3 linked regions of the Lytechinus pictus genome follow. The protein of the gene in region 1 interacts with the protein of each later gene in a pairwise test. Links are inferred from orthologs where the notes say so. Each region holds a gene or a part of one and is shown on either strand. Other genes may lie near its edges.

Region 1 (11,425 bases):
ATGCGCGGTCAGTCAAACCGGCATTGGATTGACTTTGCACGTGGAAGACGTTTTGACTGATCACGCACACTGAAATTGTGGTCAGGGTTGTTGCATCCCCTATGGAGTTTTTGTACAGGGAAAATCAAAACCTCTCAAGACGAAATAACAAGAATGTAATTTCTCTGATTCTTGGTTTTTGTGTAAAAATAAAGATACCAAAGTCAAGCAATTGTCTTGGTCTTTCCAACCATGTATTTTTTAAGCAATAAATATGTTGTAAGGCTAGGGAACAAAGTGTAGAAATTATAGTAAACTTTTAAGTTGATTTTCTCTAAAATAGGTTTGCAGTGTCATATGTGTGATACGATGGTTCGGATTACCGCCAACGATATGAATGTCAACACACGGTCTCATTAACACTTCTAAATTGTAACAACTTCATATGCTCTTATCATGAAGTATTAATCCTTTTCACCAGGAGATCGCTATTATACTGACCTGTCTGTATGCCAGGAGTAGCTGACATCCTACACTGATATCAGCAAGGGTGACCCTCTCACCAACCAGGAATGTCCTTGTCTTGAGGTACTCGTTGAGGAAACTAAGAACAGTTTTCAATGACTCCTTTGCCTTCTCTGTTTGCTGAATTAAAGAAGGGAGGTCAATTTAAGTCAATCTCAGGTCAATTTGAATAGACAAGTCACAAATCATACTCTAATGACCTGTTTCACATGATTTGATTTCAGTATAATAGACAAAGTCTTGGGCCTGAGCCAAAGTTATCTCCAGGGAATAGGGTTTACTCATCATTTCTCAATAGTTCATTCATTTAATTTACATGGTATCTATCCACTAATAAATATAAAAACATAAATTAAAGAAAAGAATTACACAACTTTATATTCACTAGAAAGTTTGTTGGTTTGGGATGCAAAAAAAAAAAAATCTGTTCTTCATTATTAAAATGTCAGTGAAGCACGGGGTCTGGATAAAGAGTATAGAAAGACTCTCCCAAACACGAAAACCTCACATGCTTAATGTACCCCCAATTCCAAATGAAACAACTACTGGCAGTAAAACCAGTTGTATCATTGAATGTTGGGGGGTGTACAATTTACAGAACTGCAAATTGAATTAAAGGGAAAAAAGGTCTCTTCCACTCTTTAAACAAGGTGGGTGTTTCATAAAGCTTATTGTAAGTTAAGAGCGACTTTAAAAATGACTAGTGAACCTTTCTTACATGTTAAATAATCAACAATGAATATCATTTACCACAACAAAGGATCACCAGTCATTCTTAAAGTCACTCTAACGTTGCGAACAGCTTTACAAAATGGCCCCCAGGTATATATTCCATGGCCCGAGACCACTGACCATAACAATCTCAAAATGTTCAAAATACACTGATTTTCATCTATGTTCTCGCCAGCATAAACTTAATCAACACAACTGGGTAATTAATTATTGTAAATTAAAGTACTCTTATATAACCAAAATCAGAACCCAACCATCAAATATTCTTACAATGACAGATAATATACAAATTCTGTGAATTTGCTTATGAATTCTATTATCTACTTAAAGATGAAGTAGAAGTAGGTTTAAAACAAGTTTGGTACTAATGGAAGAAACAAGGATCCACGATTCTTTGTAAAGAGGTGCACAGGATTATCTTTTTCAAATATTCTAATTGCTTTTCAATAAGTCTTTTAGAAATACCTGTTTGTTGTACTGTACTACACCCAATGTTGGGAAAACCCATGTGCTGGCAGCTGGCTCAATCTCGTTATCAGCTAGGTTGACAAACATCTGAACCTGAGCTCTTGACAAATCATCAGTACCCCTCAGCTGCTCATTGCTCACTATATAAAAAGACATTTACAATGTGAAAATCTAATCCGTTTAAATTGCATCATTCAATATTTGATTATGGGCAATTCCATGTTAAAATGAACAAGACATCTCGGAAAATGTCAAATTATACACGTTTAAATTTGCAGTATTTGACAAGTCTTGCTATACAAATTACACAATAAATTAAACAACATTTATACAACAGTTGCAATGTTGTGACCATAACAGCTATAGCTCCTATCTTTTTGAAAACGATGTAAAGGCAATACCCAAGTGAATTGGCAACAAAATCAAACACATGTTTTTTTTAAGGCCAATCTCCTAGGCCCTAAGAATGCCTTTCAATAAGGCTAAGTATATAAACCACAAAAATACTGTATAACCTACCATAGTATGCAATAGCATTACTCTCAAACAATGTTGTTCCACTTCCATTCTCAAAGGCTGGAACCTAAATGAAAAAAAAAAAAATTTAAGTTAAACATTAGTTCTGGTCATGAAAGTAAAATCTGGAGGAAACTGTCAAAAGTGATTGGGAGTGGTCATAAACATAGGGACAGTGATTTTCCATGATCACGGAAAACAGACGGAATTCACGGAATCGACCTTTTGAAACGGAAAGTGGCTTTTCAAACTAAAATCACGGAAAACATATTTTTTCTCAAAATGCACAGAATAGCAACAGAAATTACTCCAAAATCCTCAACGAAATACGAATATCAACTGGTCAAAAAACACGATCTCACTTCGCTACAACAATCATGACAATCCACACATCGTGACTGCACTCGAGCGAGTCGAGCCCCTCCATCACTTAAAATTAGTTTACACTCACGTCCGCATGAAGGCAGAAACATGGCCGTGTGTTGCTGCCCTCTGCGTTCTATCATAATATCATATCGCGGTATTCCTCAAATCCAAAATGGCGGATAGGCGAAAGTCGTTGATTGCTCAAAAAGATGTCCAAAAAGTCCCCAAATCATCGATAAAATCTCATTTAACCACAAAATAATGCTAATAATGTGAAAGGTGAGGATGTATTAATAGCGTTGTTAGTAAAGTGGCAGATACAAAGTTTGACCAACACAAGTATTTTTACATCACTACTCATTGCGTATTGATTTTCTATGTAAACGGAATTGTCACTCTTTCATGTACACAAAGTCTATGGGGAAATAGAATTTCCGTTTTCAGACATGCTGAAACAGAATTCAAGCTTTTCTTAAATTGAAAAAGTAAATTTTAGAAACGGAAAATCACTGCCCCTAGAAACCTGAAAATTTTAAAATTTAATTAATGCAATGATAGGGGGAGGGGGCCATTATGCCCATTAAAGATAAATTTATATTAAATACATTCTGCTTACCACCTTTCAAAAAAATATGCCGGGAAAATAGTGAATTTTTATTACAAATAGATCAGGATCAGCCAGGTTCTTCTTCGATCGCCGTCAGCGCAGCTACAGCTGAGCGTACGGCCGTGCCAGTGGAATGGCTGGCATGTTCGTACGCTCAGCTAGCTGTAGCTGCGCTGACGGCAATCGAAGAAAACCTGGGGCCAATTGCACAAAAAGGTCTTTGCAAGAACCGTCTTTCGTGTCGCCCATTTATCATGATGCAACATGTGAAACGCATTTTAAATAAATTGCCTGCAAACATATTTCATTCATCCGTTAAAGTAAACAAAATCTTTGTTTATAAAATGATGTGATGTATCATGAAATTGTATACAAATTGATTTAAATGCTAGCTAACAAATTTTCTTTGTTTATCATACATTTAAGAAATATCCCGCATACAGCGCATCATAAAAGACGGGCGACACGAAAGACGGTCCTTGAAAAGACCCTTTCGTGTAATCGGCCCTAGCCTGGCCTTGAGGCTCCTAGAGAGTAAAAATCATTTACTAACGCATGCTTACTCTCAACGGAGCCTGGAATTGCTTCCCATAGTTACACGCACCGCCCAAAAACCTGAAACTTTCGCCCCCGAGATTTCTACTTTCCTTCTAAAAAAAGATCTAGCCCTAAATCATGTACATGGGATGGGATACAACTTCATTTCCAACATTACTACGATATTGATTTCATTTTTAAACAAGAATTCATTGAAGAAACAAGAAAAATGTTATGAAAAGACGGGAAGAACTTGCCACCGTGCTTACGTCGCCATCTTGATTTCATTGTCTTGCCAAATTCGCGCATGCGCCCAACAGCCTCGATCGGCCATTTTGTTTTGAATTTTGAAAGGAAAGCTACCGCGACAGAACTTTTCGTTTTTTGAGGTTCCAGTCTGTGCCTCGATGTCAGGAAGCTGCCACTCGTTAGGCCTTCATCCATAAAATCGTGGTAAGTGCTTAATTTCTGTTTTAACTATTTATTCGGATAATTATTTAGACCATACTTCACGCTACTACCGTGGGTATGGTGAATTACACGGTAAGCCCCTGGGCTCCGGCCCGCACAGCGGGCCGGAGCTCCCTGGGTTAGGCTTCGTGTAACCCAGGGAGCTCCCGCCCGCGCAATTCATAACAAAAATGTCCGATCGAGACGGGGGCAGAAGGAGAGAACTTTTCATTTTTTGAGGTTCCAGTCTGTGCCCAGATGTCAGGAAACTGTCACTCGTTAGACCTTCATCCATATACCCTAATGGGCTAATAATACCGTAATCGTGGTAAGTGCATAATTTCTGTTTTCACAATTCATTTGGAGAAATATTTAGACCATAATTATAAATCACCCTAGTCCCGTGAGTATGGTCAAATACACGGTAAGCTCCTGGGCTCCCGCCCGCGCAGCGGGCGGGAGTTTCCTGGGTTAGGCTTCGTGGAGAGTAAGCATACGTTAGTAAATGATTTTTACTCTCTAACGTTAGAAGCCTCCTGGCTAGGCAGGCATGCAAACAAAATGAAAAAATGTTTCACTTTCACTTTCAGATACTGCCGTTACTTTGTATTTTTCAATTTGATTCACCACAGCACTCAAAAACTGTCATCAATGGTGTTGACTCCCAAATTAAAGCAAAGCCCTTCGTGACTGACAGAGAGAGAAGGAAAGAGAGAGAGCGAGGCCTACCTTTCCCAACGGGAATTTCTTCAGGAAGTCGGCTGACTTGTTGGTCTCGCCAAGCTTGAAAGCCGGTGGGTCCTGCACAACGGTCAGCTGTGTGCCGCTGTAACCAGCAGCGATCTGGATCTTGTATGCCCGAGTATTTTCGGGATAGGTGTACAAAGTCTGCAAAACAAGATGATAATGAATAGATCATCACAATATTAAGTATTATATCAACACAAACAAAGGTATTTTAGAGCGTATATTCATAAGATGAAAGAAATATAAGTGGATATAAATCAAGATACACGTGTGGACTTACCCCGGAAGCCATGGCTGCTAGCTGGAAAGACCGTGTTGACGTTGCAAAAAGAGAAGCAGAATAGCTGCGCGAACAACACGCCGGGAGATCCCCCTCCCTCTGTATACGTATGTAGCGGCGTAGTCAGCTGCCGGCCTGCACATGTTCCAGTGACAATAGCTACTTTTTGATTTATGTACGGCCTGAAACCGGAATAAAATTATTACTTCCTGAAGTCATCTGAACGAAACACAATCGAAGAAACATCAGTCCTGTTTAGAATTCTCAGTGAGTTCAATTTTGTATAATTAATTGCAATGTTATGCTCCAAAACTAACGTTGCAAACATCTTCAGTCCCATGCATGCACATTTACGTTTTTGATAATAAAAGCATGCCATAAAAACACACTAACTAGAAAATTAACTTCGAAATTTTAGTCATAGAAACTACATTGGGTCACATTGTTGATAAAAGTTGCAGTGGATAGCTAGAAAAAAGTAGAAGATTTTGAGGTAAATTTTCCATTATGTTTTTTTTATTATATTAATTAGGCCTAGTAGTAGTATTTAGTAGGCCTGGGTCTGAATTAACGGACGGAATACCAGAATCTGATAAAAAAATATCTGTCCAATGACATGTATCAGGTTCTGGTTTTTCTTATTTCTGGTCCTGTATTCCAATGAAACAATGTAGTTTAACATTTTCTTAACCCTTAAAGAACTGGGGGGCCATGATGCCCGGCCCCCCCCCCTTGACGCTTTGCGCGATATTTCCGAAGCGCAAAAAGATAGCGCCACAAAATTTTGTGCCTCTTTTTTGTCACTGAAGTTTTGCGCAACTATTGAGACCAAATTCGTGACATATGATATGGGTATAGCTTCGCGACGTCATCACATGACTTTTTACGAGACAATGTCGTGCCGAAAATGGCCCATTTTTATACTTTTTGTACAAAGACAAAGTCTATTTTGAGATGAAATTCATAAAAGGGTGGATTATTTTTCATTCTAATTGGTCTGCTTAATTAATTTAGGTTTTAATTTAGTTGTTAAATGGACTGTAATAATTCCCATTGAAAAAAAAAATACAAAGAAATACATTGTATATAAGAAATTCTAAAAACAGAGAAAAACATGAGGAAAAAATTGGCTTTTGCAATTTTTCTTTGTGGAAACCTTTAATTAAGTTAGATTTCAAAGATGACATTTGGAAAAAAGGAAGAAAACTTGAAGTGAAATCGGGTGTAAAATATGCAAATAATGTTTTTCATGAATAAATTTGCATATTTGATTCATAATAAATAAAAAATAATTATTTTCAGATTTTTTCCTATACTAGCTTGTAGTTTATGTGATAAAGAATGTGCGTGCCAAATTTCGGCGCAAATGCGTGTACGGCGGCCGAGATCAGAAGGGGGGGGGGACCATCATGGCCCCTCCCCCCAGTCCTCAATACATCTCAAATAGCCCAGTCCTTTTAGGGTTAACATAATGATTGAGCAGAGTATGTTTTATTCAGTCTTACCAATTATAACCAGACCAGTAGAGGCGCTGGTCAGAAAATTAGGATTGTCCCACTCCTAGTTTACACTCGGGGATGTACTGCCTCAGGTTTCAAAGATTTCTTCACACAAGAAATCTAGGAAAGTTCATTCACCTGTCAAGTGCTGACATCAATCAAGTGTGCGAGTAAATGTAAACTTGTTGGGTTTCATAACAAGTTTATTGGAAGACGGCAAGTCGTGAAAAATAGATGGTGAACTGGAGGGAATGGAGGTCACTGAATGTATTTTATCGCTCTCAGTCTCCGTAATTGTCATCTATGTCCCGCAGGGGTAAGTGAAGAAAAAAACTGTCTGCATAAACAAAGACAATCTCAATTTATCAAGACAGGATTTGCATTGGTTTAGGATATCCTTGTTTTCTGGGACAATCCCAATCTTTGGACCAGCGCCTCTACTGATAACTGGTTTCTTTGTTACATTTCAGGTGACCACCGAGAAAAATATGATGAGAAGAAGGGGAAAAAACTTGACGATTACGACTTGACCATCTTGTTCTCTTTGTTAGTAGCTAAGCTACGAGACACATATAGAGTCTGCCGCCCTCTATAATCTATATGCGTCTCGTAGCTTAGCTACTTATAAAGAGAACAAGATGGCCACGTAAACATCAGCAAGTTTTTTCCTCGTCTTCTCTTAATATTTTTCTCGTTTTTTTAAATGAATTTTTGGTTAAAAATGAAATCAATATTATTGTATAATCTGTGACTTATTTGTACTTCCCCATTCGTGAATTCATTTATCGGGATACCGGATTCGGTCCGGTGCAACACCAGTGGATTCCGGAACAAAAAAATTCCAACATGACTCAGGCCCATTATAAGATTGAGAACAACATGAACAAAGAAAGTCAAAAAGTTTAATTCAATAATCTAAAACGTTAAGACACTCGCTTGTGAGAAGAGTCCGCATTTATTGCGAAATGTAAAGATGAGACTAGTATGCCTGAAGGCATATACAATATAAGTAAAAGAGTTTGGCTTACCAATATGGGCTCTAGCCTCAAATTAAGTAACGGTAGTTTCTTCACCTTGAATTTATTTTGCAGCAAATTAGGATTTATCAATTGCAATTTTCAGCTTAATTGCAGAATACCCCACCACTACGAAATTGACCACACACCATATTAGAAGTATATGACAAGTATGCCTCATTCTAAAAGTTTTGGGGTACTGAATTGAATATTTGAATTCGGCCTAGGCCTAACCCTTTTAAAACACAATTTTATCTCTAAATGTATGTACCATCATTATTTATGTTATTTTATATTATAATATGATTGCCTTTATGTATTGTACATATGCTTCATTCCATTGCGGCCACTTAACTTTAATAACGTACACCTAATACTGATCCATTCAAACCTACCAGGCAGCCTTGCTACCAGGATCTACGTATGATAATAAAAATTGTCATTGTTACACTTACACTCATACACTCTCTCTCTCGCCCCCGATCTTTCCGCTCTTCCTCCTCTTGCTCTCTACCTCTCTTTTTTCTCTTTCTCATAGTCTCTTTTCCCTTTTTCCTCCCGTGCTTCTTTCTGGTTAGTCAGAACTCATTGTTATGTTTTTTGGCTGCATGTATTTTAAGTTTTGGCTTATCATAATGGGGATGCATGTCATAATATAATACATGTGTCCCCAACATGATAAACAAAATTTCTATGTGTTTTGCTGTAGAATTTGTGCTTTTTTATTTGATGTTGAATGTATTTTTATGTAAATTTTGTAAAGGGTTCTGCAATTAGGCTTTTCAGCCGCTATAGATACCCTAATTGTTGTAATAAGCCGTTTTAAATTAAAAAAAAAAAATTTGCTCTTGTTCCTAGTTTTTGATCTGATAGCGCAAAATCATCACAAAAAATCTAGATAAAGGTTCCTTAAAGGGGAATTCAGTATATGGTCATAAAATGTTGTGTTGGAGAGGAGAAAAATAAATAGAATAGAATGGTGAAAGTTTGAAAGAAATTGGGACAAGCAATTAGAAAGTTATGGCTGCTATAAAATTGAGATCCCTAAGACTAGATTTCAAATTGGCAACTGGGTAAGTAAATTATGACCAGGGGCAAGGACTACTTTCCCCATAGGCCATGTACTTAATTTTCAGGGATTAATGGTTTTCTCCTAAGTACCCATTCCCATGAGGCGCTAGTCTAAATATAACCCAGGTAATGTATTGTTTTATGTCCTCATGAAAGAAAAATATAATTTAAACTTCAAAGTAAAACTTTTGAAAAAATGACATTTTAGCAATTTTATGCATTGGAGTACAATGGAAGAGTAGTCCTTGCCATACATCACTATGACATCACATATGCGGCCAATTTGGAGTCTCCATGGGTTTAGTGATTACCAATATTTTGATTTTTTGAAATTTCACAACTTTCTTATTGTTTGTCTGATATTGTTCAAACTTTTACCTTTCAACTCGTCTAGTTTTTCATTTTCCTTTAAAACAAGTTTTTATTTGGGTTGTATTCCCCTTTAAAGTGATAACCTCTTAGAGGGATAGTTCACCCTAACAAAAGGTTTATTGTTAAATACAAAGAAAAACATTGATGAAAGATTGAGGAAATCTATTAAAGATTAAGACAGTTCCTAGAAAGAATATAAACTTTTGAATTGTGATGTCATCCGAGCAGCTGCCCCATATGTTATAAAATGTTTCAATTTCAATATTTTTAAGGGTTCATGATAAATAACAAATTTCTTCTCTCAGGAGCGGATGTGAAATATTTTTTCTGTTGATATACTGAAGTTACAAAATAACCCATTTTCAAATTTTGAAAAAATGACATTTTTATTGATTTTTAAATATATGATACATGGGAATCTGCACGCATATGACATCATAATTAAAAAAAAATAGAATTCTAATAAATTTTTAAATCTTTAATGGATTTTCCTCGAACCCTCACCAATATTTTTTAATGATTTTTTCTGCATTTTCTACAATAACTTTTTGTCAGGGTGAACCTTCCCTTTAAAACCTTGGTACTTCTTCTGGAGTCACTACACAAGGCTTGTCCAGTGCTGGCTTTGGGTTGAAAGACATTGTCTGGTCCTCTCTACAGTCGCAGTTAGTGTCTCCATCCTTACTGTTGCCCCATTTCTGTATAAGGACTTTGCACCATCCTGTTCCAGTCCGTAGGGGATTAAGACATTACCAGTTTGGTCATTCCTCACTTGTTACTGAATGCAGAGCATGACTTAAATGTACATATCTAGGCCCTAATGTCATCTGTGTTTATGAATGGTATTAGAACTCAACATGTCCTCAAACTATCAACCATTGTGTGCTAGGGTGGAAAATTAATATTGCTGTTTGAGGGAGAGGACAAAAATGAAATTCTGTGTAAAATAAACAGCCATGAATGCGAATAGATGCTATTTGGGGGTAATTCATTTGAGACTGCTGAGGGCATTCCAGTTGTTTGTGTTTTTGTACCTTTTACAACATTCCATTGCCAGCTTTAACTGTCTTTAAAAGTCTCTTTTTCAACTCTCCTGTAGATCTTCAATTGTACAGTATTTCTACTTGAAGTACAAAATGTCTCCAGGAAAACATTCCAGACAGAGTAATAGTGATCGCAAACAGTGCTCAACCAATTACTACGGAGATCGTTTACTTCTCAAGAGAGTACAGGAGGTAATTTCAGCTGCCATTCATAAAGAAAGTAACCACCCTTTTCGTCTCCAGTTCTGGGCATGCTTTTAAGATATTGGAGGTTTGATTCCTTATTTCATAATTCAATTCATTTATTTTCTCTTTCAATCTTTTTACATTTACAATGATAGTTCAATATACATATTTACAAAATATAACATTTAAATCATTTTTTTACAATACAATAATACCATGAAAACGAAAGGGAAGGAGACCAACTAATAAGCAGAGCTTGTAGGGTGAAGGCCCCCTTTTCTAAGTAAATTTTATGTATAAAAAATAAGATAAAATAAAGAAATAAACAATATATATATATAATGAATAAAAAAAAATAAACAAATAAAAGTAAAATTAAATAAATAATAATAAAAATAAATGATTCAGTATACGGAAATCATAAAACGATTAAACATATATACAAAGAGAAATTAATAAACACATTTACATAATAAGTTCTGAATTACATTACTTTGGGGAAAAAAGATAATCTAATATGACTTCAGAAGATATTTTTTAAGTTTTTCTTTGAAATTTTGTATTGAATTACATTGTATAATATCCTTTGAAAAAGAATTCCATAATTTTTGACCAGTAAAAACAAATGTCTTCTGTGCAAACGATGTTCTATTCAGAGGTTAATGAAAGGAACTCGCCTGGCGAGTGAAGTGCTTATGAATTGTATCATTTTTTACAAACATATCATTAAAAGGTAACGGTAATTGTTTATTGATAAACTTGTACATTTACTGTCCGAGTTGAAAAGAATATAAATCTTTAACCTTCAAGACTTTATTTCTCAAAAACAGAATATTTGTATGTGCCCTGAATTCTGCATGACTAATAATACGAATCACTCTTTTTTGTAGAATAAAAAGTCTATTAATTTGAGAATTCGCTGCATTACCCCATGCAACAACTCCGTAATTCAAGTAAGGTAAAATTAACGTTGAATACAATGATAACAAAATATAATGGGGTAAGAAGTAACTTAATTTTCTAATGACACC
Region 2 (11,029 bases), about 3.1 Mb from region 1:
ATTACTTCCATCTATAACTTTATTATTGACCAAAAATAATTTTTCATTGCTCAAGCAATCAGCTAAGAGACTAGAAATTGTTGACAAAATGTCGCGTACGACACGTATAAAATTGCCTTTTTGGAGAAACAAGGATATTCTACCATTTTGGTTTATAATAACCTACTAGTACTATGGCTGAGAATAAACTTCAATTTTCTTTGAAAATTAGCAAACACCCCCCCCCCCCCAAAAAAAAACATTCAATGACGTTGATGCTAACAAAGCTGGTCATATGAAAGCTTACATTTAAACTGATGACGCCAGCTATGAGATTCATGTAGCTTTAAATATCACAGCAATTCCTCTGGAATAAGTTTTCTAATAGAGTAATAACATTTTGATTTTTAGTAAAGAATTTTCGCTATGCGTATACTATGTATATCATTCTTTTTTTTAATCTTGTGAAATGCTATGTGTGAGATGGCTTAAACATCTTCAAATACGGTAACCCTAATCCTAAGATTAATTTAGATGATATCCAAACCAATGAAGCTAAGTACGAGATAGCTTACATATCTTATACGAATAACCCTAATCCTAAGATTAATGTAGATTATATCCAAGCCCATGAAGCTAAGTGTGAGATAGATTAAACATCTTTTACAAATAACCCTAATCCTAAGATTAATGTAGATGATATCCAAACCAATGAAGTTAAGTGTGAGATAGCTTACATATCTTTTACAAATAACCCTAATCCTAGGATTAATATAGACGATATCCAAACCAATGAAGCTAAGTGTGAGATAGCCTAAACATCTTTAATCAATAACCTTAATACTAAGATTAATGTAGATGATATCCAAACCAATGAAGGCTTCCTAATTAAAGCCTAGACTGAAATAAAAAAAATACTGTTCCATTCTCAAATATTACATGCACATGAAATGACAAATTCCATTCATATTAGACACTTCCTTCTGTGACAATTAAATTAAGGAACAATATTGAACTTTGACACCCTCATACAGAGCAAAATCTTTTTAAAATTTCTGCAGATGCTCTATGAAAACGCTTTAAGATTTTATTAAAAAGCTTACCTCCAAAATGCTCTGTTCATTGCATTACGTTTTTCTGGTCTGTTCACCTCAACCTTGTATATGAACTCTTGCGGATTAGTCACAGCAAGTGACTCAAAATTATATTTTGACAGCCCTTCGGAAGACATGCTTCTAGCGAGTGTTCTTCTAAGGCCGATCTTGGCTGAAATGATAATAAAGGAAACAATTTTCAAATGAAGTTTTCAATAACAAAAAATACAGTCAAGTCTACATAAAATTATTAGCACAAAGTATGAAGGTGAGTTCTATTACCAAAATAGAAACAGGGAATTCTTATACAAATACAATCATATACAGTGCATCTAAAAAAACCATACACTTTTGAAATGGCTGCCATACAAAAAATATATCACTTGTGGGCAAAATTTCTAAATATATGGAAAGCAAATAGAGTAAACTTTCATTTTCATACAACACCAAAATCCAAAAAGTTTGAAAACTATTCATGCATGAGTGAGCAATTCCCACTTAAAGGTCAAGTTTACCCCAGAAAAAGGATGATTTGAATAAATAGAGAAAAATCCAACGAGCAAAACGTTAAAAATTTCATCAAAATCGGATGTAAAATAAGTTGACATTTTAAAGTTTCGCTTATTTTTCACAATATAGTTATATGCACATCTCAGTGACATGTAAATGAGACAGTCAATGATGTCCATCACTCACTATTTCTTTTGTTTTTATTGTTTGAATTATACAATATTTCATTTTTTTACAGATTTGACAATAAGGACCAACTTGACTGAACCATAAGTATTAAAACAATGCTAATTCCACATGTTCAGGGAGGAATTAATCTTTGTTTCACTTGACAATGAGAAAATTAGAATAGTTTGTATTTCATGTAATGAAATACAAAAGAAATAGTGAGTGGATGACTTCATCAGCCTCCTCATTTGCATACTGACCAGGATGTACACATAACTGTTTTGTGAAATTAAGCAAAACTTTAAAATGTCATAACTTTCTTATTTTACATCCGATTTTGATGACATTTTCAGTGTTATGCTTGTTGGAATTTTCTCTTTTTATTCAAATCAACTAATGGTTGGGGTGGACTTGTCCTTTAAATAAAGGGTATGATAATTAGGCTGGGCAGGAATTAGCCTTCCTATTTCTTTCAGTTTTTGAGAGGCGATCCTTTGGAACTTGCAAAGTTGAGGGTTTGTGATGAATTAATGATCAATCGTGACCAGTTTGTTGTTTGAGAAAATTTCAAGAGCTATTATATTGAAATTTAATGCATGACTCCATGATTGAACTTGAATTGTACTTTTTTAGTGCAGCATTTTTACTTTTTCAGGTGGATCTCTGCAGTTTGTCCATGAGAGTCAGGAGAAAAAGGGTGAGATAGGACTTAAGAAGGTGTAGTAGGTTGATAGGATACAGGTCACCATAACATTTAGCCACCCCTCCCTTCCTCTCTTACCCCCCCCCCCCCCCCCCCTCCACTTCAACCCCCCTGAGAGACTAAGATTGACTAGGCTGGGTGGGAATTAACCTTCCAATTTTTTAGGTTAGTCCTTGGAACTTGAAAAGTTAAGGGTGTCATGCTAAATTAATGATCAATTGAGATAAGTTTTGGTTTTTTAAGCAAATTTCATGAGTTACTAAATTGAAATTTAATGCATGAGTGAACAGGAATCGTAATTATAGTGTACCATTTTAAAGGAGAATGAAACCCTTGAAACCAGCTGAATCCATATCAAAGAGAAAAATCAAAGAAACATATTGTTGAAAGTTTGAGGAAGATTGAATGAATAATAAGAAAGTTATGAGCATTTGAATATTGAGATCACTAATGCCATGTAGAACCTCCCATTGGCAATGCGACCAAGATCTGTGATGTCACACACGTACAACTCCCTCATTACTTTAGTAGTATTTCACTTATATTCTCACTTTTATAGAGTCTATCACAAGGTGAGGTGTTCTCTATATGAGAGGACAAGTACAGAGGTTTCACAAAATTATATCATTGATGAAACGTTTGTCATATGATTAGAATGAGCAAAAAGAGATGTTTTGGGGTATATTTTCAGTGTCCAAAAGGGGAGAGTTGTTCATCTGTGACATCAAAGATCTTGGTCACATTGCCAATGAGAGGATCTCCATAGCATTAGTGATCTCGACATTCAAATGCTCATAACTCTTCTATTGCTAGTCCTATTTTACTCAAACTTTTGTTGATCTTATTCTTTGATTTTTCTGCTTTCACAAAAGCTAACTTGCTCCAAGAGTTTCATTCTCCTTTAACTTTCTCTTGTGGACCTCAGCAGTGTGTTTATGAGAGTTAGAGTAATGTGATGGTACCTGTTGCAAGTAAAGGGATGAGAAAGGGTAATACATGGTTAAAAAGGGCATTACTCTTCTTTGTGTTCTTTTACAAATTACAAGTCATGTACCACCATCTCCATCCCCTCTCTCTCTCTCTCTCTTCCTGGATGGTATTCAAAACTTAACTGCCAAGTGACTGTTGTTGATGGGTAATTTTTTTTTTTCATTGAATGATTACTAAGAAATTTACAGATTATGATGATTTATGAAATAATTTATTAAAAAAGGTGAATGTTTGATCACATTGGCATTTGATTTACTAATAAATTGTTGATTAAATGATTGATAGGTAAAAGTTGATGCCCTAATTTTCAGAATTTATTATTAAATTGACAGTCTGCTCTGGACTTTATGGCTTATTATGCGAACATGTAAATAATGTAATAGCAATCAGTCTCAATCTCAACAGGAAGGGGGGAGGGGGTGGCTAAATGTTCTGTTGACCCTTGTCCAATCAACCTATTTCACCCACTATCTCACCCCTAACCATGCATGCTAACCCCCTATTCTCCTGCGTGACTCCCATGAACCCCATTCTGATTCTGAGAACCATATTACATATATTGATAAGTTAAAATGCGTTAATCATGTTAATGCTGCGCTAAAAACTGCAATTCATGTTCACTCGTACTCATGCATTAAATATTTTCTCAAACAACCAAAAATGATCACGACTGACCATTACTTTATCACAACACATAACACCAAAACCAGATTTCAACACCGTACTAAATTAGCTAGTAAGAGCAGCTACATGTAGCCTCGAAATGTGCCGCCGGTACAAGCCGGGGGAGCACCGGTCTGCGTGCTCGCTAGATCCAGTTCATGAGTTGGGTCGATCTTACACTCGTATTTTGAATTGATGTTGAACCCCCCACCCGAATGCTAACACTTAAAATAATCTCACAGATTAATGCCATTTTCTTTCCTTGAAATTTTCAATTAATCTTACTCAAGTTCCCTTTCCTGGCTGTTGACAGGATGACTTTGGTGAGAGAATTCATGATGATCTCGTGCCGTCCACGGGCGCGGGCGTGGTATAAAAAAGGCGTACCGCTGTGGCTAGCTCGATCACAAAATTTTCCGGTACCGGTACCGGGCCCGGTATCCGTGTATCATATCGATAGCTAGCTGACGTCGACGTGTCTTGCTATGCTCGGCTAGCTACCGGTACCGACAAGGCCAGGCGACACAGTCAACATCACTCTAACTGTAACTGTAACTGTAAGATCTAGATCTACTGTAAAATCTGGAAATTGGTAATGTCCAATACGTATAAATATTTATGTAGGCCTCATTTTTTCTTGCATAGTTATAACGTTAAACATTTCGTTTTCAGATTCCAATTCCACCGAGCTGAGAGTGAGACTGAGATCGAGAGAAGGCTGAACTGCTGAAGCATGAAGGCAGCTGAACAGTCAACATGAACAACAGTCCCACGAGCTTACTTTAGTGCGGTTTCATGATATCAGCTTTCGTTTATAAACTTAGCTTTACTCTTTAGTTTATATTATAGTCGCGCCAGTCAATCTTTCAGTTTCTTATTATTATTACCGGATGTACTGGAAAAATGCAGAAAGCTGCAGCCAAGTTTCCAGGTCTAGCTTTCGTCCAAGCTTAATCTTCTTCCACAACTTAATCAGTTTAATTTATATTTTTCCTCAAGAAATCAGACAAGATACATAAAATACTTTATAGACAGTGAATAAACAACTATAAATATGATGGTGTGCCCTTGCCCCGGGGACCTCGACACGTCTTTCACAGTACACTGTGTTCGGGCTGCCGCAGTAAGGTGGGCCCCAAGTCTGCGCACCTAACAGTAACAATTTGAGTTGAGATTTAACATGAATTTCTTCTTATTTCACAAAATCTTTCAGTTAAAATAATAAAAACTTAAAATAATGTTCCTTATCATGCTTATATTATTGAGAGTAAGTGTACCAAATTTCTCATTAAAAAATGAAAGAAAATATAGGATTTTCTTGAAAAAACCTCTGGCAGTCATTTTCAGATTGAAAAAAAAATGATACTCCATGTCTGCGCACTCATTCACTTTGCACACGATTCTGGGATTTTGATGAGAAAGGCTGCATTTTGAGGCCGTCACATGAAATGCCCTGAATTTATTATTTTTCCACCATTTTGAGTCGGATTTTTCAATGAATACCTGTCTATGTATTGCATGTTTAAAGTCTCGTTGCGTATCTTCTTTTACTAGAATCGCGCAGACAAGGGGGACTGCGCAGACTTGGGGGAACTTGCCATAATTGTTCATCAAACAAAGGATATGACATGAATGAGGAGGAAAAATGGCCGAAAAGGCTTGGCTTGTGTCTGTTGTGATACTAGGCTAGACAGCTGGCAGCCGTCTGTTTCGAGGAGTTTTTTAACATTTTTAATTTTTTTTTAATTTCTCCTTGTACACAGACGGCTTGCTATCGTGCAGCCACCGTTAGGGGGTTAACAATGCAAGGAGAGAGAGAGCTAGAGAGCCAGAAATAAGTTTAAGTTATATTTAGATTATGAACTTGACAATTAAAATGTTTTGTAGACTATTTCCTTCTAAAAACAGATACCGAAGAGCTTAAATCTAATTGAATATGGGAAGGGATTGAATTAGAATTTTGAATTCCAATAATTGGTCCTTGATAATATATGCCATTTTTAAAGAGAGAAGTATTGCACTGTGGGATATGAATATTTCAAGCATTTTCAGTGGAATGAGTATGTACAGATGTGTTTGATAAAAAATAATTTTTGAGGGAATTCGGCAAGATATTTTATAATATAAGAAAAAATTAAAACTGCAATATTCATTTTGTTCAAATACATTATATTTAGAATTTTCAAAGATTTTAAACAATGGTCCAGAATGACACAGATATGAGGAGTGAGTAATAATTAATTCTCATTGTCCTTTTTTGTAAAAGAAATATGTTAATATGTGTTTATTACCCCAGACTATATTGCAGAAGTTCAAATAAGGTAAAATCAGTGTATTATATAATAAAAGATGAATCATCTTCGGTAACGTGCAGTTTATATGACAGTGATGTTTTGGCAACTTTGCCGCAGATGACACCAGCATGCTCATTCCATGTTAACCTATTATCAAGATTGACATTAACACCTAAAAGGTAGTAAATGCTACTTCATTAATTGGCATCTCATTTAAATAAACATCAACTTTGAGTAATGATCTATTTTTATTTGTGAAAACCATAAAAAAAAAACATTTTCGAGCATTTAAAGTTAATTTATTTACAGTAAGCCAGTTTGATGTATATTTCAATTCATTATTAAAGAACATTTTGTAAAGTTTCAACATTTTTATGGGACATGAACAAGCTGGAGTTATCTGCATACAAAATAGAATCCAGAGCATTAGAAATGCATGGTAGCGGCGATGTAGAGGCTGTGAAAAAAACATGTGCGTGTCTTGCTTGATTCATATCGGGCTAGCTCTAGGCACGCTTCTGTGAAATGGGAGCATGTCATCATATTACATATTATAAAATAATTTTTAAAAGCACCTTTAGAAGCTTTTAGAAATTGGTTATCAATAGGAAGTAGAGAAAATTTCTGTTATTTTGATACTTTGAAAATTTCTATAGATTCCAAAATATTTGTGTACAAACTGTATTTTTTTATGTTGATGAAAAAAATTAAAATTTTGGATAAAAATGGCATAATAATGTACTCATAACATATACACACTAAATTACACTATAGATGTCCTACAGTATGTTGTGTGTGTTACTTTGGGAAGAACTAATATTGTAAAAACAACAATTCCAATGATGAGAGTAATTGATAGTATAGAGTGACAACTTTTCATAAAATCATATATTTCAATAAATGAAGATCAACTAGTTTTTATTTCTCTCAATTAGTGTTAGACAGGTGATTGAACTTTTATATTATTTGTATAATGGAGAAGTCCTTATAATGAACAAGATTCTATAAAATGAGGATCCTGCAGTTCCCCATCATGATGATCATGTTAACATTTTTAGAATTTAATTTTCAATGAATATCAAGTCTCAACTTATTGAAATAAATAACTTCCTGTGTGTATTTCCTTTGTCCATAGAAATCAAGTGAAAATGGCTGCTTTCAGACAACCCAATAATACTAGGCCAAGTTGTGTCAGTGCTGCCATCTTAATAAGCCTCTTCATATGCCTTGCTAGTGTTCATATAGCAAATGCAAAAGAAGAAGATGAAGCTTCTACTGAAGGCTGGATGGACTATTGGTTTATCAGATTGGCGCTAAATGTTCTTGGCTACCTGTCAGTGATTGTTCCTGCTTGGCTGGTGATTCGCTATGTCAGAAGCTCTGGATACTTGGAAAAGGGAGGTGAGGATCCCTCAGGTACAAGTAGTGGCATATAAAAAGACAAAGGCATTTCTGCCTTTTTATGCCCACTACTCCTAGGAAAAAAAAGTAATTTTGCACCCTCTCCCCCTCCCCCTTTTCAAAATCACAACCTTTTCCTTGTCAAAAATATTTTTAAGAAGTCAGCCTACATGTTTGGGCAACAAAATTTTGGGATTGAATAAAGCTATCTAAATAATCTTATTTTTAAAAGATTTCTTTAGTTACAAACTCATGTATATGCCCTTTAGAATGATTTTTTTTTTAATTTTTACCAACAATATTAGAAGAACTGTAAGGAGTCTGAAAACTTCTCATTTACAGGGAGTAAAGCTGGCTGTGTTGTACCAGTACATATGGAAAGGAAGTTAGGGCAGCACAGAAACAGACATTTAACTTATATTGTACCAGCACTATCAGAGCTCTACATGTATGTAATAATTAGAACTAGATGAAACTCTATATAGTACCGAGTTGATTTATTTGATAAGAAGATACAGGTACTACTTTAAGAAAAATGAAGACTTCACGGTAAAAAGACAATTGTTTTGGCTTTGGGTTTATTAAGTTAATACAGGTAGTAGCTCTTTGAGGTGCTTTTGGAGAAAAATGTTAGAGGAATAAAATGTTAGATTCAACGTTGATAACAATATCACATCAGATTCAGTTATCCGCATAATGTCATTTGTTGTGAAGTTGACATCTAGGCAATGATTTACATGTACATGTAATTTATGTAATAATATATTTTGGAGCATATGACGTGAAATACTTGAAATAAAATGTCAAAGTTATAATAAGTTTGGTTTATGATATACCATATTCTTATGCAAAGCAAATTAGCTTGAAACAAAAAGCTGGCTTACTACTCTGAATCTGTAACCGGAGCTAGTAACATGTGTCATGACATTGCCCTTTTTGGGTATTCAACCCTGCGCTTTTATCTGCATTTTTATCTGCCTGAATAACCTGAAATGAGAGGGAGCTAAAGGGCTGCAGGTAATGATAATGATATCAGTAGCTCTACTTTATTTGTCCATGTATGCGAAGTACAAATTATGAACTTTGATAATGTAATGGTGTTTGTGATGGTGATGATGATGGTGGTGGTGATGATGATCATCATCATCATCCCAGCAACAATGATGTTAATGATGAATTGACATAAATGCAATAATTGGTAGCTATTGTTTTTCATGCTGAAGAATTCCTAGGAGAGTAGTATTTCTTTGGGATATTTTCCTCTTTCTTCTGAGTCTATGTCCTAATCAGTTACAGTAGGTCTCTTTAAACCTCTTATTTTCTGAAATATGTATTTTGTGTAGGTCATGGCTGTTGGTACAATACTGTCAAATCATGTGTAACTGGGTCAGACGAAATCAAAGCAAGCTTAGAGGAAGGAGGTAGCAAGGCTACAGTGACTGAGAAACCAAAGGTAATATTATATGTACATAAAAAGTTTAGCTCCAAAAGGAACTACATCCATATTTATTACTTCACAGAAAAACATTGTTGACCATTTTCATCAAAAGGGAATGAAGTACCTTTTGAAACTAAACTTCCTACCACATGAAATGCAAGCGAAAGACAAAAGTTTTTCTTCAGACTACATTTTCAACATTCCTTGTATGTGACCATAATGCACTAATGTCACTATTTTGGTCTACTTAACTGTTTTGTATTTGTTGCATGACAGTTTGGTTCATGAAAGAGTTCATATATTGACCTGATAAAGTTTACTGATGATATTGGTTTATTTCTTGCGCTTTCTGTTTAGATAGGAATTTGATTCCGGTAAGGTAAATGATTGATTTCCAGCAATTGCTGCCAGACCTATAATTTAATGGTTTAGTTTTAAAAAAATGCAGGTGAGATAGATTTACAGCTATCGAGAGGAGTGCTGTCAGAAATATTTCATGGTTAAGATGCAGATATTAAGCGACTGTTAAAAGCCAGTACTTTAGATTATTAAAAGACTACTTTAATGGTAAACGATCAGAGGACCAATGACCATACACTTTCTGATGGATCAGAGAGCAGAAAGAGTTGCAATCAGTCACAACTTTAAAAATCAAACATTTTTATTTTCAACCAATAAATTAGAAGCATGTATTTAGGACTAGCAATTGATTAGTAAGTAAGTATTCAGTTGCTACTCTAATTGCTATTGGCCCCCGGTAATGAGGACATTTAACTTACCAAAGGGCAATAGGACTAGGCCTAAATAGTACATCAAATTTTATTTAAGCCCAGGTTACCAGATTTCAAGACTATTGCCCTTCATATGAATATATATCTTGCCCCTCAACCTACACAATATTGTCAATGCTACTCTAACTTTTGAGGAATATGAATTTGAAATGAATACTGTAAATGATATTAATCATTGGATGGATGGACGGCCGGACGGACACTTTTTATTGCTTTTTGAAAATGAAAATTTTAGTATTCTGACTATAGTAATGTGTAATACTCTATTCATTTCCAGATGAACCGTAGTTTTGTGCTGCTGTTTTGCGTAGCTGGCCTGCAAGGGTCATACCTTACATGGGGAGTCCTTCAAGAACGTATAATGGCACATGAATATGGCAAAGATGCACATAATCCAGGAGAAACGTTCACCAACTCCCAATTCCTAGTGTTCATGAACCGCATTCTCGCTTTCATGGCTGCTCTGGTTTTCATGAACTTCACTGCTCAACCTCGTCACACTGCACCCCTCTACAAGTACTCCTACTGCTCTTTGTCCAATATCATGAGTAGCTGGTGCCAGTATGAGGCTCTCAAGTTTGTCACCTTTCCCACCCAAGTCCTGGCCAAAGCTTCCAAGATCATTCCTGTGATGCTGATGGGGAAGGTCATATCTGGGAAAACATACGAGTACTACGAGTACATCACAGCTGTGATGATCTCTCTTGGTGTGGCACTGTTCTTGTTGTCCCAGGGAGGGGATCACAAAGGATCAACTGTGACAACATTATCAGGGGTCATCATCTTGGTTGGTTACATGGCCTTTGATAGCTTCACCTCAAATTGGCAGGCAGACCTGTATAAGACATACAGTATGTCCAGTATTCAGATGATGTTTGGTGTCAACCTCTTTTCCTGCCTGTTCACCAGTTGGTCTCTTATAGAACAGGGTGGGTTCTTTGAGGGAATTGGCTTCATGCTCAAGTACAATACCTTCATGTTTCATGTAGGACTTCTCT
Region 3 (10,552 bases), on another chromosome or scaffold:
CGGTGTTCATGGCACTTCATGGTGCGGGGGGGGGGGAGGGGGCCGGGATGACTGACAAGTACCAGTGGCGTACTTGGCATATTACGTCAGGGGGGGGGGGGGGGCAAGCGACAAGTAAGGATGAGCACGGTGGGGGGGGGGTAGTAGGCATGGACGTATAGGCACAATTATTTCAAGGGGGGCTAAATCATTGCCCGAATATCAACTTTATAGTTTTTAATTTTCGAGCGAACAATTTTTCAATTATTATTTAGCCTTTTTACATGATGTGAAAGTGCAGAAATTATACATTCGGTCATAAAATTACCAATACACGAGGATATTTGGACGCATCACAGTCCTTGTTGCCCTGCATTTTACAGCCCACCCCCCCCCCCCCCACCCATACACGTTTGGATGTGTAGGTCAATTTTCAATTTCAATTTATTTTATTTCATTTTCAACAGAACAAAGTAATGTGTCGAAATAATTACAATGAACTTATACAGACAAAATAAATTGAGGCATGTACAAATAAATTATATTTATCTATAAGTAAAAGTAAAACAAAACAGAGTATTACATATAAGCAAAATATCATAAACAGTATAAAATAAAATTCTGAAAAAATGGAGGAATCTACTAAAAAGCAGTGCTTGTATTGTATGGACCCCTCTAAATAATTATTTTAGATTAATAAAGTGCAGCACTGAAGGTGGGAAATGTTACCCAGGTGTGCCTAATAAAACAATTGGGATCTTGCTACTACTGATATTTGCTATCGGGCGATCGCACTTTATTGTCCAAATGAATTCTTTTTTGGTATATCATTCCAGAAATGAAATGTATTGGATCGTGATCGATATATTTTTATCCGGGATTTCTATTCAAGTGGTAATTGCAATGTTTATATTAAAATACTTCTTTTATTCCTCTTTGAAGGTGTTACATTATGTTCCCAATTCTGCTCATTTGGAGACGTTATAAAAGAGGTATTTGACATTGAAATCAGTTATAGTCATGTATTGATTTGCCTTTGTTTTATTTCCATTTACACAGTAAAAACAAAAATAAATGCATCCATTCACTCATAAAAAATAAATATGAACATGAAAATATATGCGACAGTAACATGATATATCACTAGATATGGGGAAAATCACTCACTCACTGGCAGGAATGTCAGAAGGTTGAGGAAATTGAAATTGGAAAAAGATAGGCGGATGAATTAGGGATCGGGTACATAGGATAGAAAGGGGGTGGTAATAACCAGAGGAATGTGTAAGCCCCTGCTTACACATTCCTCTGGTTATATGGATATAATTCCTGAAACTTAGACATAGCTAGGCCTTTTCCAGTGGGGGGGGGGGATGTGGAGGACCTTGATTACCGACAGATATCAGCAACGATTACTGACGACCGACGACCAAAACTCATTTATATCCAACCAAGGATTTTCAAGTGGGACATTTTTGTTTACAAAAATTTTCACAAGCCCCACCCCCAAAAAAGTCTTTACTTTCACTGACACGTGCCTAACAATTTACACTAAAATAATATTAAAATAATAATTGCGAGCGCGAAGCGCGAGCTGATTTTTTTTTTGAAAATCTAAACCTAAAACGATAAATTTTGTGCACTTAATTATAAATAGGATGGGTATCTTCCTTAATAAATTATGCGAGCGCAAAGCTCGAGCTAAAAATTTTGATATTTCTAACAGGACCCTATATAGACATTCTAAGCAGTTTTACAGGATGGATATCTAAACGGTCGTGCGGGCGCGAAGCGCGAGCTGAAAATTTGAGATATTCCCCCCTGAAAACTTGACATTCTAAGCACCTTTTTTTTCTAACTATGAACAACATGGTAGTTAAAAACAATTAATTGGTGTGAGCGCGAAGCGCGAGCTGAAAATTTTTGATATTTCGGACTGAAAACTTTACATCCCTTCATTTAATTATGAACAAGATGGAATTTTATGCGAGTGCGAAGCTCGAGCTGAAATTTTTGATATTCTAAGCAATATCTGTAACCGTGAACAAATTGGTTTCTATGATATATTGTTGATATTTTTTTATATTTTGACCTGAAAACCGGACATTCTAAGCACTTAATTTAACTATGAAGAGGATGGTTATACCTAAACAGTTACATGAGAGCACGAAGCGCGAGCTGAAATATTTAAAATTCCGGCCTAAGAACTGGATATTATAAGCACTTTTTGTAACTGTGAACAAATTGCTTTCTAACTAATCAATTGACGCGAGCACGAAGTGCGAGCTGAAAATGTTTGATATTTCAACCTGAAAACTAGACATTTATCTAAGGTATCCAACTAAAAAATTGATACGAGCGCGTAGCGCGAGCGAATTTTTTATTGTTATAATTATATTACCTAAAAGTTGTTATCTACATTTTTCCTGTCCCTGGTCAGCCCAGTCCGTCCTCACTATCGGTACAGAGAGCTCTAAAAGTCGCATTGCGTAAAAATCACAATTTACCGATAAAAGTGTACAGTTTAATTGACATTTACCGACAAAGATGGTGGAAGTAAAAAACCGAATCAGTTGGAACAGCCCCGTGTGCCCGACAATTATCATTTTTTCCGACAGTCTGCAGTCGAGTTTTTGTTTTCCCTTTCTCTTAAACTCTTTCTTCTTTTGCCCCTTCCCCTTTTTTTCTTTCTCTCCTTTTTCCTTCTTTTCTTTCCCTTTTTTCGCTTCCTTTTTTTTGCTTGTGACTCGTCAGGGGGGGGGGGGCAGTCTACCCCCTCTGCCCCCCCTTAGGTACGCTAGTGACTAGTACTACTAGTATTGTTCGATCTCTGTGAATGATTTTTTTTTTTTCTTTTTTTTTCGGGGTGGGGGTACGTGGGCCAGACATAATGGCGTTCAAGAGCAAAATTAATTTTTTTTCAAATCAGTGAGTGAGCAAAGCAAGTGAGCATAAATTTAGATTCTTTGAATAAAAAGTATGATTTTGTGTTATAGATTATGACATGATTAAAATCATATTTTACACTCCCCCGATTTTTAATTTTTTTTCTCCGGCCGTGAAACTTTTTTTGAGGTTTAGCTAGCTAGGGTCCCGGCCCGAGGCGCCGATCCTGGGGGGGGGGGGCACTAATGAAAATATTGGGGTGACAAGCTAGCATATCGTTTTGCCCTAATAATTCCGTAAGTGCAAAAATAAAATTAAATTGTAATGTTAACACAGAAATCAGCAACATTAACCGAGCACAATATAAAATTTAGATTTATTACATCTATAGATCTAGTACAGTACAAAATCATGAGTCTGCGCGGGAAATGATTCCATCTATCATTGCAAGTTTTGTTAAGGTATAAGCCCTACATTTACGCAGGAATCTCATCATATAGGCCTAGAATACTTTTCTGCACTAGCGTACCTACGGGGGGGGCAGAGGGGGCAGACTGCCCCCTGACGAGTCACAACCCATGCAAGGGACATATCCCTGCCTCCCCTGACGAGTCTTGAAGACCTTTTTTTTTTTTTGCTTGTCAAATTTTTTTCTGGTACGAAATCCTTTATTTGTGGTTGAAGACCCTTTTTTTTTTTTTTTTTTTTATTTGCCCCCCCCCTGTGGAAAAAAAATAATGGCAAGCCCCTCTTTTCATAGGTTCATATGTAGATCAAGGTGAGTTATGTATCTCTCTAAATTAATTCTAACAAACTACTTTTAAAAAAACTTTACCTTGACAGTTGATAAAAAATTTCGGCTCGAGATTTGCGCTCGCATCAATAAAGTCCTTAAAATTTCCAGTTTTCAGGCCTTAATATCAACAAATTTCACGCTCTCATTAGGCTTATAAAAAATGATTGGATTAGATCAAAATAACACTAATCATATCAGCTCGCGCCTCGTGCTCATACCATTAATTCATTGGGATCCATTTCCACTTCACAATTTCCCTACATCACACGTGCTTGAAATATTGCATAAATTGACCCTTCTTCAGATCCAGATCAGAATAATTATAATTTTTTTCAGCTAGCGCTTCGCGCTCGCATTAATGACTTTCATGATAAAAGAAATGTATTTAGAATGCCCAGAATCCAGGTATTAATGTAGGAAGATACCAAATTACCCACCCTTTTCATGATTTCCAAAACATTATTGGAGTGTCCCATGTTTAGGTCTAACTGTCAATTTCCCCCCGCTAAGTTGCGCTTCGTGATTGCATCAATTATTTAGTTATATAGCTATCTTGTTCATGATTTTTAAAAAAATGCCAAGAATTTCCAGTTTTTAGGTCGGAATGACAAAAATTTTCTGCTCGCGCTCGCATTATTTGATTGTTGAATCATGTTTTATCTTCATGGGTCCAGAAACGTGTGTGTGTGTGTGTGAGTTTTATTGTTTTGTGCGATCAAGCGCCTTTATTAATTTTGTAATGTTGATTTATGACTCATGATTTTGCCCCCCGCCATCTGAAAAATGGATTGAGGCCCCTGCCCCCGGCCAAGCCTCTACGCAAGTGGGAAGCCCGGGTGGGAAGGGGGTGTATAGCAGTTGAGACCAAATAGTGTATAATGTTTATTTCTACTTTATTTCTGTTTATTTCTACAACAAGTCTATAGGTACTGCATAAGGACTAGGTGAATAATTAATGTGAGCTCGAAGCGCGACCTGATTTTTTTTTAATTGACGTAATTATAATTTGCCATTTTGGGGATTCTTATCAGTTTTAATTGTTATTTCCCTTGTCTACCCTCTTAGATAGATTCATTAGCGACCATCCGATTTCCTATATTGTATTACTGAACATTTTTTTACTAAGTGCCCATTCTTAGCTCCTTATTTTTATGATTAAAGCCAACTTCTGCAGTATGTCCCTTTAAGTCCCATATATGCCCCTATCTACATTGATAAATAATAATACTTATTAATTATATGGCGCTTTTCCCATAAGGCCAAAATGGCCAAAATTGCTTACAATGGAAATACTTGAAATAAACCATGAAGCTATTATAGCGCCGTGAATAAATTATATAATGCTAAAAAAAACTATATATGAAACTACAAACTACGAGAGAGAAACGCCCCTAATTTTCTTTTCTTGTTTGTTACAGGGCAATTCAATTAAGCACACGTATACTATTTTTTAATTCTACATGGGCAGTATACGTGGAACCGGGGGTCAGGGGGCATGGGCACTTGCCCCTAAAAATCCCATATGCAGGGATTTTTTTTAAAAGTGAATGTGCCTATTGCGAAATAAATCTTTTTAAATCATTTTCGTTCCTGAAGTTGTTATGAAATACCGGTATTTCCTTCTTTTTACATCGTGTACATTGGGCCTATTAAGTGTCCGTTTAGTGTCCGCCCTATACTCCCAAACGAAATACGTTCCGCTCTGCCCATATCCCACATGCTCCTACATTACAACAAAATAATATGCTGACTCATTTAGAGTGGGGCATGATTTTTTTTTTTTTTAAGATAGTGCCCCGATAGTACCCGTTTCAAAAGGGGAAGTGTCCCGAAGTGTCCCCATTTCCCCCAAAGTCCTCCCAGCCCTCCCACTTTCAACATCGCCTTTCCGCCCCAGGCCCAGTATGGTGAGCGTTTCAGGAGCAAGCCTTGGGAAATTCCCTAAAACCGTAAACTGAATAACCAGTCGTAAATATGCGTAGATCTATATACTGCATCATGTAAATACTGAGTCGATATTTCTTCAGCTAAATATACGGCCTGTCATCAAGTCTATATGGCTTACGCGTTACGCCTATGGTCTAATACGTGGTGCATTTTTGGAAGGGTCTCGAAATTCCACCGGATGTCTTCTTCGATTATTTCAAGAATTTTTAAAGACTGTGAGAGAACATTTCATATTTTTACCTGGTCCCGCGGAGTCAACAACGTGTTGTAAATGTGAGTTCAGTCTGGTTTTGCTCAAACTCAGCTTAGGATCTTCAAACTAAAGTAAAAAATACAATCGTGTTCGTCATGTTCGTGTGCAATTTTTTGTGCACACAATTAAGCTGGGAATATCACAATACCGTGATACAAGTATTCAGATAGCACACGAGCAAAATGACCACTGACTAACGTGCTGTATTTTATTCGGGTTGGGAACTTAGTTCCTGTGCAATGCAATTCAAACCATCATATCAAAGAGGGGGGGTTTGAGCCTGCACCGCCATGACCGCACGCTGCCTGCGGTGTGCCTGAGGCGCTGAGCTACGCTGCGCTGCAGCAATAAAATTATTTTTTAAAAACAATTTAAAAAACGTGGATGTGGAAGTGCCTGGCCTGGAACTGGTTGCATGAGTCCACCACATATCGACCACCTCTTTTGAAACCAACCACCCTGCACACATTAAGATTATTACAAACAACACGCTTGGGATGGTAGGCGAATATTGATTTCATAAATAAATATTAAAAATGTTTAAATAGTCTAAAAACTGACATACTTCAGTCTACTGAAGCTTTTTGACATGCACTCATGGGCCTGGGAGTAAAATCGCATGAATGACCAGAACGCTAGAGCAAAACAATATATAACTTTAATATAAGAAAACCGAAAGAGCAATGGACGCTAAAAAAAAGCCTTAACAACTTGTTCATTGAATGAGTGAGCTGTGTCTGTGACTTGGCTGTCATTAGCTCGTCGTTCAGCGTCCACTGTCTCTTCGGAAGTTCGGTTCTATTATCAAACTACAATGAATGATACTATAAAATACCAACAGAATTATTATATTGTTTCATCTAGTTTTTTATGAAATTTGCTCAAATAATGGTGAAAGTATTCAAAATTGTTAAAGGGGAATGAAACCCTTGGAATAAGTGGGCTTGTGTGGAAAGAGAAAAATCAAAGAAAGTTTGAGAAAAATCGGACAAATAATAAGAAAGTTATGAGCATTTGAATATTGCGATCACTAATGCTACGGAGATCCTCCTATTGGCAATGCGACAGATATGTGTGATGTCACATGTGAAAAACTTTCCCTTTGATGGACTATAAAAATACCCCAAAAATGTATCTTTTTGCTCTTATGGTGATACAAACCCTTCATCCATAATATATTCTTTGAAAATCTGTATTACAAGCCCCATAGAAAGAATTAATGATCTACTGATAGATGTCATAAAATAGGCATTTTAAGTGAAATATATACAAAAGCAGTGGGAAAGTTGTTCACATGTGATATCACACATCTTTGTCGCATTGCCAATGGGAGGATATACATTACAATAATGATCTAAACTTCAAATGCTCATAACTTTCTTATTATTCATTCAATTATTCTCAAACGTTTGTTGATCTGTTTCTTTGATTTTTCTGTTTTCACACAAGCTATCTTGTTCCAAAGGTTTCATTTTCCTTGAAGATTATGATATGTGCTTAGTTTCACTCCAGCTGACGAAGTAGCAAAGTACAAGAACACAAACCTTTTTTTGTCTTGATTCTGTTGATTTCAATTTCGGTCTCATAATCTCATTCTTAACACCAGAAGCCAGCATATGCTGACCTGTCAGGATTTTCCTGCTTCTTAACTTTCGAAATGTTAAAAAAATCATATATGAAAACAAGAATGTCAGAAAAATCTCCTTGGACCATTCATGCCTCCAAGTCCTCAATATACTGTATCTTAACTCTTCATGCATTCCGTTTGCATTATTGCACGTCTGTAGGCGTGTTATATATTTCGCATTTCTGCACAACCGCGCATTCCCCTAATGATGCCTCTATGTCCAGGTAAATTGTAGTTTTCAGAGTTTTGTTCTGTTTTATATACATTTGCTTTCAAAACCACTTAGTGGGAGATTAATCAGATTATCTACCTTCTTTACATGTTAAATAAATCAATATATCCTTCAGCTGACCCAGGAAGTTCATTGAAAAAAGGAGAGAAAAGAATCAATTATATCCTCCTCACAAACAATACCAAGGTCAGGTTCATTGTTATTAGGAGTTAGGACTAGATCATGACACCTGTATGAAAGAGGTGCTTTTTTTTCTTTGACTAGTCGAAGATCTACTCTCTTTTATTTATTCACAGTAGTATGGTCTACTTTTGTCAGATTACCAATGATATTAGAATCATGTCTGTGATAGACTGCCCAGGTGAATACAAAAATAGAATCACGCCACTGACCCAAGAACCAAAATAAAGGGCTACACTTTTGTTGAAAATGTAAGAAGAAAATGTTTTTAAAAAATTATTTGCAATGCTTTATTTCTTTCGTAATGCAATAAATTCATACATGACAAGAAAACCCACCAAACACTACAAGTTTGCCTCACAACATTTCCTTTCTAAATGTTCAGATAAAAGTTATAGCTGTTTAACTAACAGAGTATTATACCAGGTAGAACGGTTCACTGCTAAAATAATGCAACATATAGAGGGTTTACAGGTCAATGCACGATGAGTTTAATAGCTCCGTAGTTTAAGGGTTGAAGTTATTAAAATACAGTGCGTATAAAAAAAAACGGGACAGTTTTGAAAAGTCTATAAAAATTTTGTTTAAAATCATATCTATATTTTGATGTTAATAGATGCTCTGATATCTTATCTTTGAAATGCAATTAAAAAAAATATATTTTGTTTATGCTTGAGCGAACATGGGACGTTTTTGTCGGGGGTTCAAAAAAGAGGCTTGCGCCAAAATCGCAGGAATGAGAAATTTGATGATTAGACTTTTGGCCAATAAGCAGACCTCCTCTTAATCTTTTCATTATCTTTGCCATAATTTTCAAATTATGCTGTCAAATTTCATTTACAAATTTCTTTATTTACCTTAATTTTTTTTTCATTCAAACTTCTTTTACCTTTGAATTTTTCTTAATAAGTAAGAAAAGAAGACTTTTTGTCAACCCAAGTAAGAAGATTTGCATTATTAATTGGGAGAATTCGCAATTATTCAAATCCTTTTATTATATGAAACAAATTATGTTATGGTACCTGTAAAAGACACGAATCCTATTTTCAAGGGGTCATTGAATCCTTCACCAAGTTTAATTATGTGCTTGGCAGGACAAACAGGAAAGGATTCATGTCTTTCAATGGCAATGGTGTAGCCTATTGAGTCGATTTTGAAGGAGCAAGATATGGCAGATCGGGTAAAATGTATTAAAAAGTTGTGAAGTGAGCAAGCAAAAAAATTTCATTATTTTATTAAAATATCAAATTTTGTGATTTTGATATGATATTCTGAAAATGATAAAATTTTTCACTTTTTATGTTTTCTGTTATTTTCCTGTCCAATTTTTTTGTAAGTCAGGATTTTTTTTTTTTTTTTTTTTTTTTTGGGGGGGGGGGGGGGTGGGCACCCCGATCCCCCACCCAACAGTATGCCATTGTTCAAAGGCACCATAACCTTTGTAGCACACAATGAAAGGATTTGAAAGAAAAAATACATGTACACGCTCTCCCATACTTCGGTTTAAAAAAATTGTTCTTGCCTAAAGAAGGAATATTCAAAGCTGAAAGAGAACATACTAAAAAGGAAGAACAACAGAACTATTCAAGCAAACAAGAGGATTTGGAAACAAGTTTTGACTGCATAATTCGAAAATTATGGCAAAGATAATGAAAAGGTTGAGAGGAAGTCTGCTGATTAGCAAGAAGTCCAACCATCATATTTATCATTTTATGCCTTTTTGGCACAAGCCTCCTTTTAAACCCCAGACAAAAACATTCCGATAAGACCTTAGAGCACCTATTGACACCAAAATATAGAGATCATAATTTGAAACAAAAATTTTATAGACTTTTCAAAACCTGTCCCGTTTTTTTTATACGCACTGTACAGGACATTCAGGGGGAATTGCCTTCTTGAGCCCAGCATGGGGCTCTACTCATTGACTGCAGGGGCTTAGTGGGCCCCTTGGACCCACGGCCATTGGATGTCCAGATTTTGCATATGTTGGCATGTATGCATATAAAAAACTGTGTACTTTGAGCCTTGCACATGCGCTAACTCTGGTAGTGCATGCCGTTGCGTTGTTGGCAGAGCTATTTGAGTAAAATGTTATGACTGCGATTCAAGCAGAATTAAACAAGTCAAATTTCACTGGAAATTAAGGGTTAGAAGGGAAAAGAAAAAATCATCAAAATTATAAGTCAAACATTTACTTGATAATAGCCTGTGACAAGCACATGAATTTGCTTTTTTTGTAACTCTGTACATTTCATTGCATTTTTAATCATAGTGTGACATGCAAGATTTGTTTTTGTATAGGAGTTAGATTGAGATTGAAACTAACGGAATAGAGACAGAAAACTTCGGTCTAAATCCAACCCTCTAAAAGACATGAATTCAAATTTCAATTTTTGTTTCTGTGAAGAATCACCAGAGGACCTCTAGAAGGCTTTGTGAGAAGAGTGAGAAGAGAGAATGGCATCAAAAGCTCCTGCGAAGAAGAATGATCGAGGCGGGTCTAGCAGAGTCCTGGGGAAACTGAAGAAGAGCGTTGAAGATGGCGATTACTATGAAGCCCATCAAATGTACAGGACCCTCTATTTCAGGTTAGTCAATGAGTTTATACTCAATTGGACCATATATTTTTTATTATATTTTTACTTAATATTATAT

What was found.
Region 2: the proteins of elongation factor 1-gamma-like (region 1) and delta(3,5)-Delta(2,4)-dienoyl-CoA isomerase, mitochondrial-like interact in a two-hybrid assay, tested with the Homo sapiens proteins (2 studies listed by BioGRID and IntAct). The link is inferred for Lytechinus pictus from reciprocal best matches to the Homo sapiens genes EEF1G and ECH1.
Region 3: the proteins of elongation factor 1-gamma-like (region 1) and Golgi to ER traffic protein 4 homolog B-like interact in a two-hybrid assay, tested with the Homo sapiens proteins (2 studies listed by BioGRID and IntAct, with this or other methods). The link is inferred for Lytechinus pictus from reciprocal best matches to the Homo sapiens genes EEF1G and GET4.

Annotation. Positions count from the first base shown.
Region 1 is NC_087251.1:26,857,534-26,868,958, forward strand, and holds the start of elongation factor 1-gamma-like, read right to left. Parts: upstream 5,574-11,425; 5' UTR 5,220-5,573; coding exon 5,208-5,219; intron 5,069-5,207; coding exon 4,910-5,068; intron 2,288-4,909; coding exon 2,224-2,287; intron 1,845-2,223; coding exon 1,702-1,844; intron 625-1,701; coding exon 481-624; intron 1-480. Other genes in the region: nuclear valosin-containing protein-like, read left to right, coding at 10,302-10,400. UniProt on the Homo sapiens protein: Probably plays a role in anchoring the complex to other cellular components.
Region 2 is NC_087251.1:23,742,275-23,753,303, forward strand, and holds the start of delta(3,5)-Delta(2,4)-dienoyl-CoA isomerase, mitochondrial-like, read right to left. Parts: upstream 4,843-11,029; 5' UTR 4,445-4,842; coding exon 4,393-4,444; intron 1,246-4,392; coding exon 1,083-1,245; intron 1-1,082. Other genes in the region: adenosine 3'-phospho 5'-phosphosulfate transporter 1-like, read left to right, coding at 7,550-7,817, 9,146-9,255, 10,309-11,029. UniProt on the Homo sapiens protein: Isomerization of 3-trans,5-cis-dienoyl-CoA to 2-trans,4-trans-dienoyl-CoA.
Region 3 is NC_087254.1:10,473,293-10,483,844, reverse strand, and holds the start of Golgi to ER traffic protein 4 homolog B-like, read left to right. Parts: upstream 1-5,710; 5' UTR 5,711-5,878; intron 5,879-10,304; 5' UTR 10,305-10,354; coding exon 10,355-10,485; intron 10,486-10,552. UniProt on the Homo sapiens protein: As part of a cytosolic protein quality control complex, the BAG6/BAT3 complex, maintains misfolded and hydrophobic patches-containing proteins in a soluble state and participates in their proper delivery to the endoplasmic reticulum or alternatively can promote their sorting to the proteasome where they undergo degradation.